2 linked regions of the Alligator mississippiensis genome follow. The protein of the gene in region 2 interacts with the protein of the main gene of each other region in a biochemical or structural test. Links are inferred from orthologs where the notes say so. Each region holds a gene or a part of one and is shown on either strand. Other genes may lie near its edges.

Region 1 (9,689 bases), on a different chromosome or scaffold from region 2:
TACTAAATCCCCAATTACCAATAACTTTTGCTTGCTAGAAATATACAGCCTTTATGAGAATAGGTTCCTACAATTTAATACTGAATTATTTTGTTTATAGTTGATTTTATACCACTGTAATAAACTGAAGAGAGTATAACTAAAATTTCAAGCTGTCCATTTCAAATGATTTAAGTACTTTTCAGTACTAAATTTGCTCCTGAACTTCCCTGCCACTTTTTATGATTTCACAATCATACTTTACTACTTCTTAAAAAGTTTTTCTCTACCTTTCTTCTGAGAGAGGCCATTAGAAACAATGGGGAAAAATCAAACGTAATGTGAAAAAAAATTGAAACTGGCTCTACCTAGTGTACTTTCAAAGTATAAAATCAGTTAGTTGGAAAAGATTAATAAAAATAGCTATTGTTAATTAGGTGTTATCTGAGCAACAATAAGTACAACATTAAACATCTTCGAAAATATTTTTGAAGTTTTCAGTGTTCCTTTGAAGTTTTTAAAGCAGTATGAAGGCAAAAAGCTCCAAGTATTATGGAGACAAAGAGACACAAAATATCCCAAAACAAACACATACAACCCCATCACAAGCCTCGGTAACAGTACAGTACCCCTTATCCATGTCCCCTACCTTAGCCCATCTTTCTGTACGTCTTGTCTTATACTTGGTCAGAGAGCTTACATGTATATTTTCTTGTCTGTAAAGTGCTATTAAGACAGGGGCAGGCAAAATACAGTCCACAAGTTGGATCTGGCCTACCAAGGGATTCTGTCCAGCTCGCTGAGAGTCCCTCAGTCCCAGGCACAGAGGGCAGCCTGGGCCAGGATGCCCAACGATGCCAGACACACCCACCAAGGTAGTGGAGGCAGCTGCTGGCCTCTAAGCCAAAGCCCCAGCACCAAGGCAGCTGCTCCCACCCACCTGCCCCAGCAACTGGAGGGAGCACTGGTGCCCAGCACAGGCTGCAGGGCAGGTCCCATACCAGGCCCCTCGGGACAGGAGCCCAGCAGTGACCAGCTGCATTTGTGGAGATGCTGCTCCCTATTGCCCCTAGTGAGCAGTCTCCAGTGCAGCCCCTGCCCATCACTTGCCACCCAGTATGCCCCAGGCAGCCCTGCCCACACACACCCTCCCCACAGCCCAGGCCCTCCACTGCTCCCTACCTTGGAGCAAGTCTGCCACCTCCTGAGCCCCAACTCATTGCCAAGCTCCCACTTCCACTCTGCCCCTCGCTGCCAACCCCAACTCCTTCTAGCAACACCTGGGTCTGCAAATGGTGCCCACCTGCTCAGGTCTGTCTCCTGGCACCATTCAGACTGGGCTAGTGCTTGGCTCCGCACAATACCAGGGCCCATCTGCATCCGCATCCCAGCTGGGGCCCAGGACGGAGCCATGATCCACTGCCCGCACACCCCTGACCACAGAATTGGCTCCTGTTGCAGGTGTGCGCAGGCAGCAGATCATGGCTCTGCCTCAGGCCCCGGCCAGCATAGGGCTGAGGACAGACAGGGACCAGTAGCAGCAATGGGACAGGCATACAGGGCCAGAGCTGGGATCCTGAGCTAAGCGGTGGCAGCCCACGAAACCCAAACAGTAAGCAGTGGCTTTGCGGCTGACAGAACTGAGCACTGGGAGCTAAAGGGCCCCAGAGAGAGCAGAACGCAAGGGGCTCCCACCAGCGCTGCAATCCTGGCAGGGGCTCGGCTCTTTCTGCAGACACCCCGACTCTCAGCACAGAGCCGAGCATTAGCTCAGCCCGAATGGAGCCAGGAGAAAAACCAAAGCTGGCACCATTTGCAGCCCTGGGTATGGCTGGAAGGAGCCAGGGATGGCAAGAAAGGGCTGAGTGAAAGTGGAGCTTGGAAGCAGGTCAGGGCTTGGGAGCTGCTGCAAGGGTGGGGAGCAGCAGAGGGCCTGGGCCACAGGGAGGGAGAGCAGGGGCTGGGCAGGGCTGCGCAGGGCACATTGGGTGGCAAGTGCCAGGTGGAAGCCACACAACGGGAGACACACTGGAGATGATGTGCAGTAGGGGAGATAGGGAGCAGCAGGTCTGTGAATGGAGCTGGTCACTGCTGGGCTCCAGTCCCACAAACCCGGGGGTCTCCATGGAAACTGGGTAGCCCCATGCAGTCAGGGCACCTGGCCAGGTGGACAAGATGGGGCCACTTAGGGAGCTCTGGTGAGCTGCTGGGGGGTGGGGGGGAAGAGGGGACTCTGACCTAGTCTGCAACGGGCTCCCTGTGTGGCCCAGGGGCCCAAATAATTGCCCACCTCTTTATTAAGATCTGCATTACTAGATTTAACATTAAATATAGGCCTAATCTAAATAACTCTTCTACATAAAGCACTCAGATTATTGGGTATATGCAGCCTTTAAGAATCATTTAACTAAACTAATGTGATGCATGCCAGTACAAACAGGATTTCAGAAATGATTTCAATTAGTATTTTTTTTATATTCTGCAAACGCGTAAAATATGGTAAGTGTTATCCACATACAAAGGAAGACAGTCCCTACCACAAGAGTTTAAAGTCTAAGGAACCAACTCAGCAGACTGAAACACAAGCTTAACCTTACTTCACTGAGACCACTCAGGCCTGTAACATTACGAACATGTGCAAAAATGCTAAGGGCCACGCCACAAGGCCCCAATACTTGCCAAGAGTCAACAGGTTGATCCACATGCAAGTGTGAAGAGTCTACTAATTTTATTGGGACTTCATGCAGATGCAAATATCCATTCAAGGAGTCTGACGGCAAGAACGAGGCCTATCATAAGCCTCCAACAAGAAGTGGATACAGCAAAAAAAAAAAAAACCCAGAATGTCTATACACATGTTAAAGATAAAGAGTATCAACCAAGCTGCTCCTCAACCTACCCACCATTAGTTTGTTTACTACAGTATGGCTTAAATGAAGCCAAGCCAAACTCCTGAAAATCCAATCTCCCATTGATCTTGCTCATGAATGTGTATGATTTTGGGATGCCTTCCCACTCCAAACAAACACCCTAGATCACAGGTCAGGTTCCAGAGTGTGGCACATGAAGACATTTTGCTTGGCACGCCAGCCCTCAAGGCAGATGGCAGAGGAGTCACAAGGGGCCTGATCCTTGTGATAAATCAGCCCCGGCCCCTTCCCCACTGTCTGCCCCAAGGCCTCCACGCACCTGCTGCTGGCAAAAAGCTGGGCAGGGGCTCCAGGGACCCCAGTGCAGCTGCTTGCAGCCTCCTCACTGCCTGCTTCAAGAGCTTGGGCCCCATGGTGGGCAAAAGGGAAGCTGCAAGCAGCTGCACCAGGGTCTGCACTGGCTCGTTGCTGGCAGCGGGTACACAGGCACCTCAGGCCAGACAGCAGGGAGGGGGCCATGCCTGTACTAACACAAGAAGGATCGGGCCCCTTGCAGCTACCCTGGCAATCCAGCCCAGCACTTTACAAGTATATACTGTGGGGTTTTCGGCACTCTGCCCCAAAACATTACTGCCTCCTGCCTTAGAGCCTGCTTTGGGTACCAAGCTCAAGAAACGGAGCAACGCTTTTCATTTCTAGACAGCATTAAAACTGTTGCCTGAAGGAAAGACCTGCACCACTGTTTAACACACCTCCCCCTAATCAGGGCCCCTCCAGGAGACTGGGTTTCCTGCAGGATGCGAGACCCATGTACCTACACCCCTCCCTCCCAGGAGGGAGAAAAAAATAAAGTATGAAAAGAAAGTTAAAAAGGAGAAAAAGACATTTGCAGGCAGGGGATGGACACAGACCCTCTATCTTCAGCCCACCCCAATCAAATCACAACCGGGGCAAACAAAATAACGAACAAACAAGGTGTCGGGGAGAGGACAGACTGGGACACGACCTAGCTGGGTGGCTGTTTCAGACTCGAGTCCCCCTCAGAAACCACCAGCTTTGTTTTCGCTGCTTTTTCCACTGAAGGAAAAAAAACACCAGTCTGCAGAATAGGGGGGGGCAGGCCCAGGGAGAAGCAATCTCAGTGCTAACCTGGGGGCAGCTCCCCGGGGGTGTGGGATAAATCTCAGGGGTAACTTGGGGGGAGCTCCCCGGGGGGGGGTAAATCTCAGGGGTAACTTGGGGGGAGCTCCCGGGGGGGGGGGTAAATCTCAGGGGTAACCTGGCAGGGAGCTCCCCCAGGAGAGGGGGGAGGGGGGAAATCTCAGGGGTGCCCAGGTGGTGGTGGGGTAATCTCAGGAGTAATATGGGGGGAGGGGGGACTCTCAGGGGTAACTGGGGGGGAAGGGGGACTCTCAGGGGTAACTGGGGGGGAAGGGTATAATCTCACGGGTGCCGGGGGCAATCTCGGGCGTCTCAGCAGCGATCCCGGGGCCCCCCCCGACCCCCGGGCAGGACGGGCCCCGGTGGCGCCCCGAGCCGTTTCCCGAGGACCCCCCTCCCCGCGCCGGGCCGGGCCGGGCCGGGCCGCACCTCTCGGTCCTTGAGGCCCAGCAGCAGCACCTCCTCCATGAGCGTGAGCCGCGTCTCCTTGGAGTCGCCCTTCTCGTCGTCGCCCGGCTCGTCCCGGCGGCCCTCGTCCTCGGCGCCCGGCCCGGCCCCGCGCTCCTTGTCGGCGGCGGCGGCGGCGCTGCGGGAGGCCTCGGTGCGGCGCTGCACCAGGCCCGAGCTGCGCTGGGTGAGCGAAGTCATGGCGGCGGCGGCGGCGGCCGGGGGCGAGCGCTGGGCAGCGGCAGGGCGCCGCGGCGGCTCCGCTACGGGCCCCGGGGCAGCGGCGGGCCGGGGGGACGCATGGAGGGCGCGGGCCAGGCCGGCTCCCCCTGTGGCGGCGCCTCGTCCAATATGGCGGCGCGGGCTGATGTCAGCGGAGGATGTGGCAGCGCGGCCGGGGGGGGCCGGAAAGGGCCGCGGCCGCAGGCGCGGGGCAGCCCCGCCAGGGGGAGCGCCCGGGGGTCGGGGCAGGCTGCCTCGGAGCTGCGGCCGGCCTCCGCGGTTGGACACAAGCCTGCGGGACCACAGGGCACTCCTTCAAATACAGATGAAGTGCCCGACCCCTTCAAGAGAAAAATAGGGGGCATAAAGGCGTCTGGTTGCTCATCGATAGAGGACAGAGTCTCAGAAAACCAGGCTGTGCTGTGTGACGGCCACCCTCGACCGCCTGCGTCCCGCTCTGCACGGGGTGGCAGGGTTGACCCACCCCGTGGGAGTACGACCCAGCTGAGGGGAAGGTGGCGGACGCAGGGCCTAGCGGCGGCGGCGGAGAATCCCAAACAGTTTCTAGTGGCGCTAGGACAGGGCGACGCACACGGCTGCACGTGCGCCCCGGTGCGCGGCGCTGCACCCACCACAAAAAGGCACCGTGACACTGTGGGCAGCACCTGCAGGCGGTCGTGGCTTGCCACCGCTGGCGGCGTCTATGTGTGGTCCCCCACCCCTGGTCCCGCTCCCGCCGCCGGGGCCACGAGTCGTTCGTGCGCTACCAGAAGACCGTGTCGCCTGTTGCTAATCTAAGCTCAAATAGGTGTTCAACCCTTGCGTGGAAACGATAAATGTAACAGCACAGGGCTCGCAGGGAGCCGGCACAGCTCTTGTACTTCATCCCAAAGACATTTGCAAGTGCAGCTGCAAAAGGAGAGTGAGCCATTGGGATCTGCATGACATAGGCCACAGGATCTCTCTGAAGTAATTCCTGTTCAAACTACTATCTTCGTTAGACTCGCATCCGATCTCAATTTAAAAATGCCCGCGATAGCAAATCCGTCACAGTTTGGTAGCTTACTCCAGTGGTTAATTACCATTAAAACTTTGCACCTTCGTTTCTATTTTAATGTTGCGTCGCTTCAGATTCCAACAGTTGTTCCTGTTATACTTTATCAGGCCCTCTATTATCAAATTTCTGTTAGGAAAAGTACTTAGCTCTTGCATTCCTCACATAGGTGCAATACAAATACCCCTTGATCTTTCCTTTTTTAAAAGCTAACCAGTTAAAGCTCCTTGACTCTGTGAGGTACCTTTCTTAATCTTCTAATTTTTATGATTATTTTCTGAGCGTTGTCTACCTTAAATTATGAAAGAATTATTATTCCCACAACAAGGGCACCAGTGCCAAATACAGAAAGAATAGAACATCTCAACTCTTACTTGATCTTTCTCTTGTTTATACATCCAAGGATCACAGCAGCTCTTTTGGCCACTTTTTCCACACTGGATGTTCACGTTCAAGCTAATTATCTACCAGCATGGACACAAGTTCTTTTCATAGTTTCATAGTTGGTGGGGTTGGAAGGGACCTGAGCAGATCATCTAGTCCAACCCCCTGCCACGGGCAGGAAAGGATGCTGGGGTCAAACAACCCCAGCTAGGTGGTTGTCTAGCCTCCTTTTGAAGACCCCCAGGGTAGGGGCAAGCACCACTTCCCTTGGAAGTTGGTTCCAGCTCCTAGCTGCCCTGACTGTGAAGTAGCGCCTCGTGATATCTAGTCTGAATCTACTCTCAGCCAACTTATGGCCATTGTTCCTTGTTACTCCCGGTAATGCTCAGGGGAACAGGGACTCTCCCATTGCCTGCTGGTCCCCCCAGTAAGTTTATAGATGGCCACCAGATCCCCTCTCAACCGTCTCTTGTAGAGGCTGAACAGGTTTAGGTCTCATAGCCTTTCCACATAGAGCCTGCCCTGCTGTCCTCTAATCATGCAAGTGACCCTCCTCTGGACCCTCTCCATGTTGTCCACATCCCTCCTGAAGTGCGGCGCTCAAAACTGGACGCAGTACTCCAACTGTGGCCTGACCAATGTCGCACAGAGGGGGAGGATCACCTCCTTGGACCTGCTCGTGATGCATCTGTGGATGCATGACAAGGTGCAGTTAGCCTTCCTGACCACGTCCCCACATTGGCGGCCCGTGTTCATCCACGAATCAATAGTGACACCAGGATCCTTCTCTGCCTCTGTGCTGACAAGAAGGGAGTTCCCCAGCCTGTAGGTATGCTGCTGGTTCTTCCTCCCCAGGTGCAATACCTTGCACTTGTCCGTATTGAAACCCATCCTATTCTCATCCGCCCACCTCTGTAACCTGTCAAGATCTAGTTGTAGCCTGTCCCTCTCTTCTAGTGTGCTCACTTCTCCCCACATCTTAGTGTCATCTGCGAACTTGAACAAGGTGCTTTTCACCCCCTCGTCCAAATTGCCAATGAAGATGTGGAACAGTGCGGGCCCAAGGACCAAGCCCTGGGGAACCCTGCTGCCCACATCTCTCCAGGTCGAAAATGACCCGTCCACCACCACTCTCTGGGTGCGGCTCTCCAGCCAATTTGCGACCCATCTGACTGTGTAGTTGTTGACACCACAGACGCCTAATTTTTTAATGAGGGTGGGGTGAGAGACAGTGTCGAAGGCCTTCCCAAAGTCCAGGAAGACTACGTCCACTGCAACACCTGCGTCCAAGGCTTTTGTGACTTGGTCATAGAAGGCCACCAGGTTGGTCTGACAAGGACCTGCCCTAATGAACCGGTGTTGGTTGCCCCTGCTGGCCCGTCCAAGAGATGTGCGCCTGGATAAGAGTCACTGTTCAGAGTTTCTTAGGATAGACGCCTCTATCCTGTAGCATAACTTACATTTCTAGACATACAACTTTGTATTTGCTCATATTACATATTGTTAGGGACCTACTGAAATCGAGGAAGCAGGTGGCCTATTTCATGGGCCTATCACAAGATAAGTCCTTTATTATTATTTCACAGACAGTGCCCAAAATCATGAATTGAGCAGGTGTCTACAGGTTGTTGCTTGTACTCAGTTTACCAAGTGAGCTAGATCCTTCTATCAGTGACTGTTCCTCTTCATTTTCCACTCTGCCAGTTGTGTAATAATATCAGTCATTTGTATTTGATAGTTTCCTCCAGAGCCATGAAGAAATTATAAATCAGAGAGAGCTAGGAACTGATGCCAGTGGCACCTCATTAGAAACAACCCACTCACTGACTTTTCCCTGTTTTTAATTCATTTTATATATGCATGTTGCTTTTTTAAATCAACTTAATCAAAATATCATTCAGTATCTAGTTAAATATCTTTCAGCAGTCTTTTAGTTTTATCAACCAATCTTATAATCATCAAAAATATATCAGGTTAGTTTGACAGAATATATTTTCTATAAACTTGGAAAATAAACTTGGCATTGTATTACCCTCCTCTAAACCTTTAGGGCATTTTTACACATGCTCTGGGGTTAGGGGAAGGCACTTTAATTAGAGCCATCTAATCAAAGTGCCTGCAACATCTCATGTAGCAGCGTCCCCACACTTCAAAATGGCAGTGGGGGACTGTAACAGGGAACCCTGGCCCTGTTACCAGAAGGCAGGTCGAGGGTTCAGAGGGGAAGGAAAGACCCCAGACGAAAGAGAAGGGGGGGGGGGGTGTATCAGGGAACCCTAGCCCTGTCACCAGAAGACAGGTCCACCCCTTTAAGGCCAGAACTTTCTGGGCACAGACTACTGGTAAGGAGGGGGGTTAAATGCTGAGCCTGGCCAGCTAGTCAGCTGACTGGAAGGGGCAAGCCAGGACTATAAAAACCCCGGGCAGAGTGGCAGTAAGGGCAGCAGCGCATCCCAGAGCTCCATGGAGAGGCTTGGTGAGTGGTCTAAAGGCTGGAGGAGGGGAACTATGGAAGCCCCCGGAGAGACAGCAGCTGATGGTGGGGAGCCGAAGTATGAACCCTTTGTAAATGTAAGCTGGCATACCATACTGCTTTCTTTAATCACATTTTTTTTGGTGGCAGTTATTGCCCACAGGTGGGACTGTTCATATTTCTTCTCACTATTGAATAACACCAGTGGTTTGGGTGAAGCTATTAGGGGAAGGAGGAGGCCTCATCTGGAGGCCCACTACAGAGTGGAGATCCTGGCACCAGTGAGGGCATGGCTTTTTGGGGTGCACAGACCCTGGTGCCAGAAAGCACAATCTTAAGAGGCCAAGGTGGTCTGGTGCACCTGAGGTGCAATTTTGGGGCTTTTTTTATTGGCGGGCTAAGATGATATGAGCTCAGGGCTGTTCCCTGGCTTTGAACTTGCCACCCCCTGGCTGTAGAGCCAGTGGCTGGGCCTCTGGTCCAAGGAGGCTGGGCTTCAGATTAGAGCAGAAAAGAGGGCCATGGGCCCCAAGATGCCAAAAAAAGCTAGAGCCTCAGAGTCAAACCCTGTTTGGTAGGTTTAGACAGGGAAGCCTAGCTAGAGAGAGACTGGGGTCAAGGCCCGTGGAGGTGAAAGGCCCCAACATACGAAATACAATAGGCAGTCTCCCACTCACAAGAACATCGGCATAATAATAAATTTCCTTCAAGACATGGCAGGTGAGTGAAGAGCAGGACATAAGAGCCTTAAAGAGGTCTCCAAGGGCGCCTCATGTAAAGTGCGGATTAACAGGGAAGATGGTGCTGGGGAGGGCAACCTGTTACAGGGACGCTTTAAAGCATGTACAAACTTTAAATCTCCCCCACTGCCATTTTCAAGCACAGGGAAGCTGATACACAAGACACAGAAGCTGGTTAGAGTGCACTAATTAGCATGCTTCAGAAGACTTGATTGATTAATTCATGGAGTCTGCTCCAAAGCACTCTAATTACAACACATCAGAGCAACCTCCCATCACGTGTACTGGCATCCTCATTGTCCAGGAGCATTGTAAACCTATAGGAAAACCTAAAATTATCTGGGTCTTCCCGTTCATGC
Region 2 (9,689 bases):
GCCGGGGGCCAGGCGCACAATAGCCAGGAGCACGGCAGGAAGCCGGACAGAGCTCTGGAGCCAGGCCCCGTGACCACCCGGGCGCTCGAGCCCAGCCTGCTCCACGCCCCGGGCACGCACCCTTTGCAGACCAGCACCGCCAGGCGAAGCACGAAGCCACGCCGAGACCCCCCGCTCACTGCCCCATGCCGGGGCCACGCTGGCCCCTGCTCCCAGCCCAGACGTGGCACGGCTGGGTGCCAGCCCCACGGAGGAGCCGTGCGGCACACCCAGGGGCAGGGCACCGGCTTCGCCGCCCCACAGACGGGGCGTGATGCACGGCGCAGGAATCCAGCCCGGCTGCAGCCTGGGGCGCCGGGAGGAGGGCAGGCGCGGGCGAGGATGCCGGTGCCGCCCGCCCCACCGATACCGGCATGAGTCTGCAGAGCTGGATGCGCCCTGGGCTGCAGGGCGGGGAGCACCGCGGGTGGCGAAACCCAGAGTGGGGCAGAGCTGCTGCGGGGTCCGGTGCACAGGCAGAGAGGGTCCCACCACCCCCTGCCACCGGCCGCCAGCTCAGCCCCGCAGCTGGTGCCGGAGCCCAGGAGGCAGGCGCTGGCACGATTGCTCCCTGACCTTCACGCCGGGCGCAGCCGCTCTCCTTGCCCCCAGCGCTGCGGAGCAGCTGGGGGAGGCGAGCGATGCCCAGGCAGGCAGAGCAGCCCTGGGGCTGCCGGAAGCTGCTGGGCCCTGGCGCCGGCGCACCCAGGAAGGGCAGCGCCTGGCCCTTTCCATGCCCCCGGGGGTCCCTGCTCCCTGCCCGGGGCTCAGGAATGCGGCACTCGCCGGCTGGACCCTGCTCTCGGCTCGCAGCAAGCATTTCTGCTCCACCAGCAGATTCCTCTCATTCCTCCCCCAGCCCCAGCGAGAGGCCGTGGCTGCACCTTCCCTGGCCTGACACGCGCCGGCTCCCGCCCCGGGCCTGCTGCTCCCGGGCAGAGGACCCCACCTCCGGCCCCGCTCTGGGATCTTAGCGGCTGCAGCACCCAGCAAGCACCCGCGTGCCAAGCCCTGAGCTCTGCAGCCGCCCGCCCTCCGCAGGGCACCCCGACACCTCCCCGGGCGAAAGGGCCAGGTTGGGCCAAAGGGCGCACGGGGTCGCGCGGGGTCTTGCTGGCCCGAGCGCGGCATAGCTGTGGTCTGGAGCGGCGCGGCGCGTTTCTGGCATGCCTCGGCCGGCCGGAGCAGGCCTGCGCACGCCGGGTCCGGCCAGAGGAATGTCCCTGGTAAACAAACCCTCGCAGGCCTGGAGCGGAGCCAGCCCGGCTGGGCCAGGGCCTCGGCCTCGCTGCCATGGCAAGGTCCCGCGGCCACGGCCCCGAGTGGCTCCAGCGTGGCCGCCCTCAGCGCCGGAGACGCTGCCACTCCGGGCGCCAGGCAGACCCGTCCACCTGCCCCGAAGCCGGAGACGAGGTGGGGTGGGGGTGACCCATCCAGGCGCCCCCCTGCCACGTCCCGAGGCAGCTCAGGGCCAGGTGGCAGGGAGCAGGCTGCCCGTGACCGGTCAAGGCCACGCATCCTGCCTCGGTGCCACGGGCCCAGCTGGTTTGATGCAGGATGGACCCCCGACACCCGGCACGGGGGCCACGCTGGGCCCGGCCTGGCATGGTGATGCTGCCCAGACCACGGGCACCTTGGGGAGGATTCCCGGGGGCTCCCAAGCGGCTCCTGCCTTGCCAGCGCTGGATGAAACAGAGCGCGCACACCCCACCCCACCACGCAGTGACCCAAGCACCGCACGGCCTGCACACCTGCACCACAGCGGCACTGCCCTCGTGTGCCCCATGCCCACCGGCTGGTGCTGGCCTGGGATGAGCAGGTGGCCGCAGGGTCTTCACTGTAGGAGCCACGCTTGGCCCCGCACGCACAGCGACAAGTTCCCCCCCCGCCGCTCCGCGCTGAGGAGGGGTTTCCAAAGCAAGCGCCCAAAATATGTAGATCATTTCCTGCTCGACACAGAAAAAGCAGCGTTTTAATTTAAATTAGGAACAGAAACATTCCAGGGAGCCTGGCGGGGCCGGGGGAGCCGGGGCGGAGCTGCCACAGGCCTGCAGGCCCCGCCAAGCCCCGGGGCGGGCGCAGCACCCCAGGCTCTCCCGGGCCCCGGGGCAGTGTGCGAGCCAGCCAGGCGCCAAGGCGGAGCACGCGGGGAGCCCCATGCTGCTCCGGGCCCCACGCGGCAGGAGGGACGGGGCCCTCCACCGACAGCTGCACGCGGACACCGCGCGCGTCCCTCCAGGGCTCTGCACCAGCACCCGTGGCCCAAAGCCCCTCGCTGCCCTGGCACAGCCACCTGCCCCCGAGAGCGGGTGCATGGCCCGGCTGCAGAGGTGCATGCGGGTGAGCCGGTGCCCGCAGGCACCGTCCTCATCAGGGCATCCTGGCCCCTGACTCGGAGCTCCTAGCCCTGCCCTCCCCCGGGGCCGGCACGGCGGGGGGCCAGTTTGTGCCACCTCATTGCACCCGCCAGCACCAGCTCCACTGGCACCAATGCACGGGTGCACAGGCGCTGGGACGTACGAGCCGGGGGGGAAGAGCATGGGGCTGCCTCAGCCTTGCCAGCAGATAAGTAGCGGGGACGGCAGCTCCCTGGCCTTGGCAGCCCCCACGGGTCTCCGGCCTGACCCAGCCAGGCCGTGCTGGGCTCACAAAGGGAGCGCCCGGCACCCCACCTCCCAGACGGCTCCAGCACCAGGGAGTCGAGCCCCTTGCACAGCGGGACTGGATGGCGTCAGACAGATATGCCCCACAGACGGGCTTGGGGACGTGCATGGGGCTGCAGGCACTGCACAGGCCCACACAGATGCATGCACACAGACATTTGCACAGATGGTTTTGCAGCTGGAGGCTGCAGACCCTGAGCCAGGCCGGCCGGCCCGCCGGGACCCCGCCGGTCAGGCCCCGGGTGTCTGCAGCTGCAGACGCGCTCCGGCTCACAGCCACAAACCAGCTCCTGAAACTCCGGCGAGCCTCCCACCACCCGTCCAGGGCAAGCCGGGTCACACCGGGGACCCTGCACCCAGAGGATACGCACCCCAGGTCTCCCGAATGCACCTCGGGCACTGCTGCGCCAGGGAAAAGATGAAGTCTGCCCCTACCCAGGCTTTGGGTCTCTAAATCCCACTTTCCACGGGAGAGACCCAGAAGGCCCCAAGCAGACGCACGAGTTCACCAGCAGCCGGAGCGAGCGACCACGCTGCCGGCAGCGCCAGCCCCGGGCACGGCTTCCAAACCGGCCCCGCGAACCCTCCCTCTGGTTGCGGCTGTGCCCTCGTCACCCACAGCCCCCCCCACCGCCGGTGACGGAGCTCGCGGGGCTCAGGCTGGGCGCGCGGCCGGGCACGGGCACGGCGGGTACTCACGTCGACAGCGGCTCTGCGCGGCCCCGCGCTGCCCCGCAGCCAGCAGCAGCTCAGCTCGCTCAGCTCCAGGATAGGCTGCACCTTCAGCCGCACCGTGTCGCCCGACTGCCGGATCATCTCCACGATCTCGTCCCGGGACTTGCTCTCCACATTGCGGCCGTTGATCTCCACCAGCCGGTCGCCCGGCACCAGCCCCAGCGCCAGGTCCTTGGTGCCGGCGCCCGGCTCGGCGAAGTGCACCACGCGCCGGTACACCTGCCCGTCGGGCGCCCGGTCCAGCAGGGTGGTGCGGCGCAACGAGAAGCCGAAGTCGCCCGTGTTGCGCCGCTGCAGCTCCAGCTCCCGGGGCGCCGCGGGCTGGGGGGGCACCACGGCCGGCAGCCGCAGCTCGGCCGCGAACCGCTTGCCAACGAGCTCGGGCACCCGGGAGCGCGGGGCCAAGGAGGAGGAGGAGGAGGAGGAGGACGGGGGCCGCGGGTGGCCCGGGGGCGCGCCCTGCTTGGCCAGCTGCATCTCCAGCGTCCGGGCCTCCACCTGCGGGGAGGGGGCGGCCGAGTGCTCGGAGGGCGTGGAGGTCTCGGACGCGCTCTCGTCGCGGCTCCGCTGGGAAAAGGAGAAGCGCTTGACGATCATCTGCGAGTTCTGCTTGGCCAGCGAGCCGAACTTGGCGGCCCGCTGCAGCACCGAGCCCTTGAAGTTGCCATCGTCCACCTTGAGGTCGTCGCTGGAGCTGGCCGTGCTGAGCTGGCCCGAGTCCAGCACCACGCTGCCGCGGTGCCCGTCGGCCTCGATGTCGGTGAGGTGCAAGTCGGAGCCGCTGGCCACCTTGATGGGGATGGGGTGGGAGATCTCCAGGCGCGCCCGCGACTCCCGCTTGGAGCCCCGGTTGAGGTTGAAGAAGCCGCGGCGCAGGCTCATCTCTTCCAGGCTCCGCAGCTCGGCCGCCGACATCCGCTCCTTCTTCTCCTTCTTGTCCTTCTTCTCCTTGCGCGACCCATCCCTCTCCTTGTCCTTCTTCATCAGGTTGAACATGGCTGCGGGGCGGCACCCGGGGAGCGCGCGGCTCCACGCGGCAGGAGGCGGATGGCAGCTCCCGTGCCACTGGGGCTCTGCAAGAGACATGCGGGAGACCCCGGGTTAGCAATGGACGGACAGACGGACACCCCCGGCCTCTCCCGGAGCCAGAACCAGCAACCTGGAGCTACCAGCTCGGGCACCCACCCACAAGTGAGGCCCGTCCAGGATGGATCCCAGCAAATGACCCCCTCACGGCCACCCCGAGCAAGCGCCGGAGCAGGATTATGCAGCCTCCGATGGAAGTGCTGCCCGGCCCTGCTGCTACGTCGGGGCGCAGGTCTCGCCCAGCACATCCTCGCGCTCCCGGCTGCACGGGCGCCCTGCAGAGCCATGGCGAGGCCCTGCAGCAAGGGTCTCGCGCCCACTTGCTCAAAAAGCTCCTTGTTCCAGGGAACAGAGGCCTCTGTCAGGGCCTGGTCTGGCCCCATGGTGCCTCCGCGCTTGCCCCTGGGAAAAGGGCGGGTGGGCGCAGGGCAGCAGGGAGGAGCGCGGGACCCCGGCCAGCAATCACCGTCATTAGGACAGCAAGTGGTGGGACCCTGGGAAAGCACGACGCTGCAGGGCGGCTAAAATTAGCTGGAGCCGCGCAGAACCCGTGACGCCCCGAGTGACCTCCAGAACAGTGGCTCTTTCATCCCGGGGCCGCCCCAGTCTGGAGGGAGGCGGGGGGAGAGGCAGGCAGCCACATCCCCGTGCCCATCCCAGCAACGGGGCAAAAGACCTGGCCAGGGACACATCCCCACCTGCCTCCGCTACACAGCTCCTGGCCAGGCCACGAGGGACGGCATGTGCCGGTGCCCCCAGGACCTCGCACATGCGAGGCAAGCGGATGGGCTGGAGGCACCAAGACAGGACGCAGACCCCCGAGCATGGGCACCGGCTGGGCAGCAGCTCCCCGGGCCCGCCCTGCGGCAGAGGCGCCAGGCGGCTCCGCGGGACCGTTTGCTTCCACAAACAAGTCACAACCCGGATGGAGGCCCTGGCAGGACCCCGGCTGCATGTAACTCGCAGGAAGCCAGGCTGCTCCAGCCCACAGTGCCCGGGACAGGCAGGGAAGTGCTCGGGAGCGGTGCTGCTGGCTCTCAGCCCAGGGCCCTTTCAGAGGCCACGTGCCGTGCACCCGCCCTGAGCGAGAGCCCTGGGAAGCAGAGGTCAGCGACGGCCCAGCGGAAAGGGCAGGAGAGCCGGGAGCAACGGCACCATCTCCGGATGCAGGGCAGGGCAGCGGCTTGTCCTGCTCATGCACACAGCACCGCTTGCGTCCATTCTGCAGATGGACACGCTGAGGCCCAGAGGGGGAAGGGGCAGAGCCCGCAGATCCCAGGTGCCTGGCTGCCTGCTCCTCCGCTGCACCGGGCCTATTTCCCTCTGGCTCCCAAGGCCCGGAGGGAGCAGAGCGCTACGGGTGTCAGATCCGCCGGCTCCTACCTGCTCCCCCAGGCCCGGCAGACGCGGGCTGTGCCGCACGCAGGCGACTCCCTCCCGGGCAGGGAGCACGTGGGCGGGGAGGTGGGAACCTGAGTCAGGAGAAAAACCTGCTCCCCTGCCAGGAGCTCCTGGCACCCGGTTTCGCTGCCAGCTGTGCACCCGCCGACGGGACCCAGGGCACCCGGGCCTGGCTGCTGGCAGGAGGAGACTGGGCGCAACGGCTGCAGGCCTGGGCCAACAATCAGGTCCCCATGGAGGCTCCTGCTGGGCACCCGCTACTCCGCAGGAGCTGCCGTGAGTCTGCACCGCAGCAAGTCAGAGCTGCGCCGCGGGCGCTAAGCCCCATCTCGCTGCGACTGGAGCAGCCTGGGCCACGCTGCCGCTTCCTGGGGCATGCCCACGCCACCGTCCTTCGCTCCCAGCCCCCAGGCCAGGACTGTCCCTGCGGAGGGATGGGCACTGACCTGCCCGGAGAGGCAGGGACGGAAGCAGCGGTGCCGGGCACCGGTCCCTTGCACGCGTGTACCTGTGCCCTTTCCCAGCCTGCTTTGCAGCCGGCACTGCTGCTGGCCTCTCCCATACGGCCAGGTGCACCCTGCCACCCGCCTGCAGCCGGCTCCTCCCCGGGGACGTGCTCAGCAGCAGGACACTCCCCTTGGCCCAGCCCGAGGCCGGAGCAGGAAGCACTCGGCAAGGCCCACACACGTCCACACCAGCCCCAGCTTTGCTGCAGCTCCTGGCTCCCAGCCCGTGCCCTGCCAGCCTTGCCCCAGCAGCTGCCCTGCGTTCCTCCCCCTCCTTATCCCAGTCAGGGCCGTGGGACTCGGGCAGGGCAGGCCCCTGGTGCTCCGCAGGCAGGGAAACTGCCAGGCCTCCAAACAGGCGGAGGCAACAACTGTGCCGGGCACGTGCGGCCCTCGCTGCAACCAGCGCCCGCTGCCGGGGGGATAACGAGATGCTGAGCCGCCCCACGTCTCCCACCCGGGACCCTGCTGCAGCAGGCCAGGGGCTGGTGGATGTGCCGCAGTGCCTGGATGGCACAGGCCCTCTCTGCCAGTGCCGACCGCTGCCCACTTCTCTGCCCTCTCGCCGGGTGCCTCAATGCCCCCGGGCACGACCGCAATGAACCCGGGCCTGAGCCCAGCACAAGGCACTGCCCCTCCATGGGCCCAAAGGGTTCAGGCCTTGCCCTCACCAAGGAGACACCCATCCTAGGCCAGATAGGGCACGAGCTGCAAGGGAACAGCAGGGAAGCTGGGGTCTCGACCCAGGGCGGCCCAGCTCCTGCCCCACAAACCGCGGACAGCAGTCAGGGGCACCACCGGCCCTCCAGGAGCCAGGTTTCCCCCGTGCAGGGGGCACAGATGGACCGGGATGCTGGCAGGACAGGCCTCTCCCGCGCACGCTCCATCCCTTTGTGTCCCCGGCAGCAGGGGAGAGCAAGCGCTGCCATCTGCATGGCTAATCAGCCAGACACGCCAATTAACAGCACAGGCCACACACTCCCACCCCAGAGCCAGCCCTTTTCTATACCAGGGCAGCGAGCGGCAGGTGCAGGAGGAGCCCAGGCTCGCTGCCAGGCGGGTGTGCGGACAGACACCGCACAGCACGGGGGGAACCCGTGCCCACCCCACGCAGGGCCACAGAAGGGAGGGGCGGCCGGCCAGGACCACGGCACGCACCAGGCCACAGGCCTCTAGGATGCCACAGCATCCAGCTGCACTGCCAGGCAAGGGCACAGCACCAGGGCTCCCAGAGAGCTGTCACCAGGCCACGGGCTAAGCGTCCCCTGCAAAGCAGCTGGCTGGAAGTACCTACGCCCAGGGCTGCGCGGGAGCCCCGACTCCCTGGGGAAACTGTGTCACAGCCACAAGAAAAGCCTACCTCCAGGAGACGTTGTCCCCAGCGCTCTTGCCGAGCCTGCGGACTGGAGAGACTGTCTTTGGCTGGAGCCAAGCGCTCCCAGCACCCAGCGCCTCTCCCTGCCTCACCCTGCTGTCACGTGGTGCTCACCGGCTCCGAGGCGTATCCGGAGCAGCCGGGCAGGACGGGCGCGATTGCACAGCGCTAGCAGAGAGGAGGGGACAGCAGGCCCCGGCTCTCACCTGGAGCCTGGGAAAAGGCAGCCGGGCCCGCTGCGGGGCCAGGGACATGGGGGGAATGTGGCAGCCCCTGCACCCGTGAGGCCTCCCACCACCCAAGCACCCTGCACACCTGGTGCAGCAACGCGTGGCTCCGGGACGGCAGCAGCACCTGCGTTCCCATTCCCGGGGGCTGCCTCGCCCCCTGCTCCCCCCGCACGGGCTGCCCCGTTCAGCCTGGCAAGAGCCAGCTGGCACGCTGCGCTCGGTAGCCCTGGCGCGCCCCACCTGGCCCAGCCCGGCGCGGCCGGGAAGCTGCTCTTGAGCAACGCAGCCGAAGGCTGGTGGCCACGGGCAGGCGGTGACCTTCGCCCCGGGGAGCACCCCCTTGGCTACGGTGCCCAAGGCTTCGCGGGCACGGACACGGGCTGGCAACAGGCTCGAGCCGGGGCAAACAAGTGGCGGAGCCCCGGGGGCTGGCACCCGTGCGTGCGTGCACAGCACGCGGGCCGGGCCGGCCGGCCGGCATTCCCACGCGGGTCCGCCCCCGCCTCTCCCGCACCAGGCCGGGCCGCCGAGCCCTTGGCGCGGCCGGGCCTGGGCAGAGCGGCGCAGGGAAGTCCCGCACGGGCTCGGCGGGCCCCTGCTGCGGGGCGGGGCGGGGCGGGGCGGGGCGCGGAGGTGCCCACCTGCCCCGGCGCCGCCCCACGCAGGTCCGGGCCGGCGCGGGGCTCGGGGGCTGCAGCGCGGCCGGGCCGGGCCGGGCCGTGGGAGCGCCCCCCGCCCGCTTCCCACGGCCCCGCGCCGCCCCGCCCCGCCCCGCCGCACTCACCGCTCCGCTCCGCTCGGGCCTGCGGGCCCCGCACCGCCCCGCACGCAGCGCCCGCAGCCCCGCGCTCGCACAGGCGCGGAGCCGCCGCCGGGGCGCACCGCCCGCACCGCACCGCACCGCCCCGCCGCACGCCGCACGCAGGGGCGGAGCGGAGCGGCCCGGCCGGGGCGGAGCGCAGCGGAGCGGCTGCCTGGGCCCGGCCCCGATCCCGATCCCGATCCCGATCCCGCCGGGCCCCTCCGCTCCGCTCCGCTCCGCTCCGCACCGCACCGCCGGGCGCCTGCACGGAACGCCCCGCGGGTGGCACCCCACGCACGGCCGCGAGATGCCCCTCCGTGCACGTGCACAGGTGTGACCCCGCACGTACGTGAGACACCCCACTACCCCCAACACACACACACACACGATACCCCCCTCCGTGCACGTGCACAGGTGTGACCCCGCACGTACGTGAGACACCCCGCTACCCCCAACACACACTCGCACACGATACCCCCCTCCGGGCACGTGCACAGGTGTGACCCCGCACGTACGTGAGACACCCCGCTACCCCCAACACACACTCGCACACGATACCCCCCTCCGGGCACGTGCACAGGTGTGACCCCACACGTACGTGAGACACCCCGCTACCCCCAACACACACTCGCACACGATACCCCCCTCCGGGCACGTGCACACAGGGCATACCCTCCTCCACACGTGGACCCGAGATACCCCCAGGCACACGCACATACAAGATACCCCCCTCCAAATGTGCACACACAAGACACCCCACATGTACACACTGGCAGGACACCCCCCTCCATGCATGCACACGTGAGATGCCCCCACATATGCACACAAAATACCCCTCCATACAGGCACTCG

Evidence for each region.
Region 1: the proteins of MYO18A (region 2) and GOLPH3 form a complex in vitro, tested with the Homo sapiens proteins (2 studies listed by IntAct). The link is inferred for Alligator mississippiensis from reciprocal best matches to the Homo sapiens genes MYO18A and GOLPH3.

Annotation. Positions count from the first base shown.
Region 1 is NC_081826.1:281,529,654-281,539,342, reverse strand, and holds the start of GOLPH3 (Golgi phosphoprotein 3), read right to left. Parts: upstream 4,790-9,689; 5' UTR 4,659-4,789; coding exon 4,440-4,658; intron 1-4,439. UniProt on the Homo sapiens protein: Phosphatidylinositol-4-phosphate-binding protein that links Golgi membranes to the cytoskeleton and may participate in the tensile force required for vesicle budding from the Golgi.
Region 2 is NC_081837.1:1,347,575-1,357,263, forward strand, and holds the start of MYO18A (unconventional myosin-XVIIIa), read right to left. Parts: upstream 4,509-9,689; 5' UTR 4,434-4,508; coding exon 3,402-4,433; intron 1-3,401.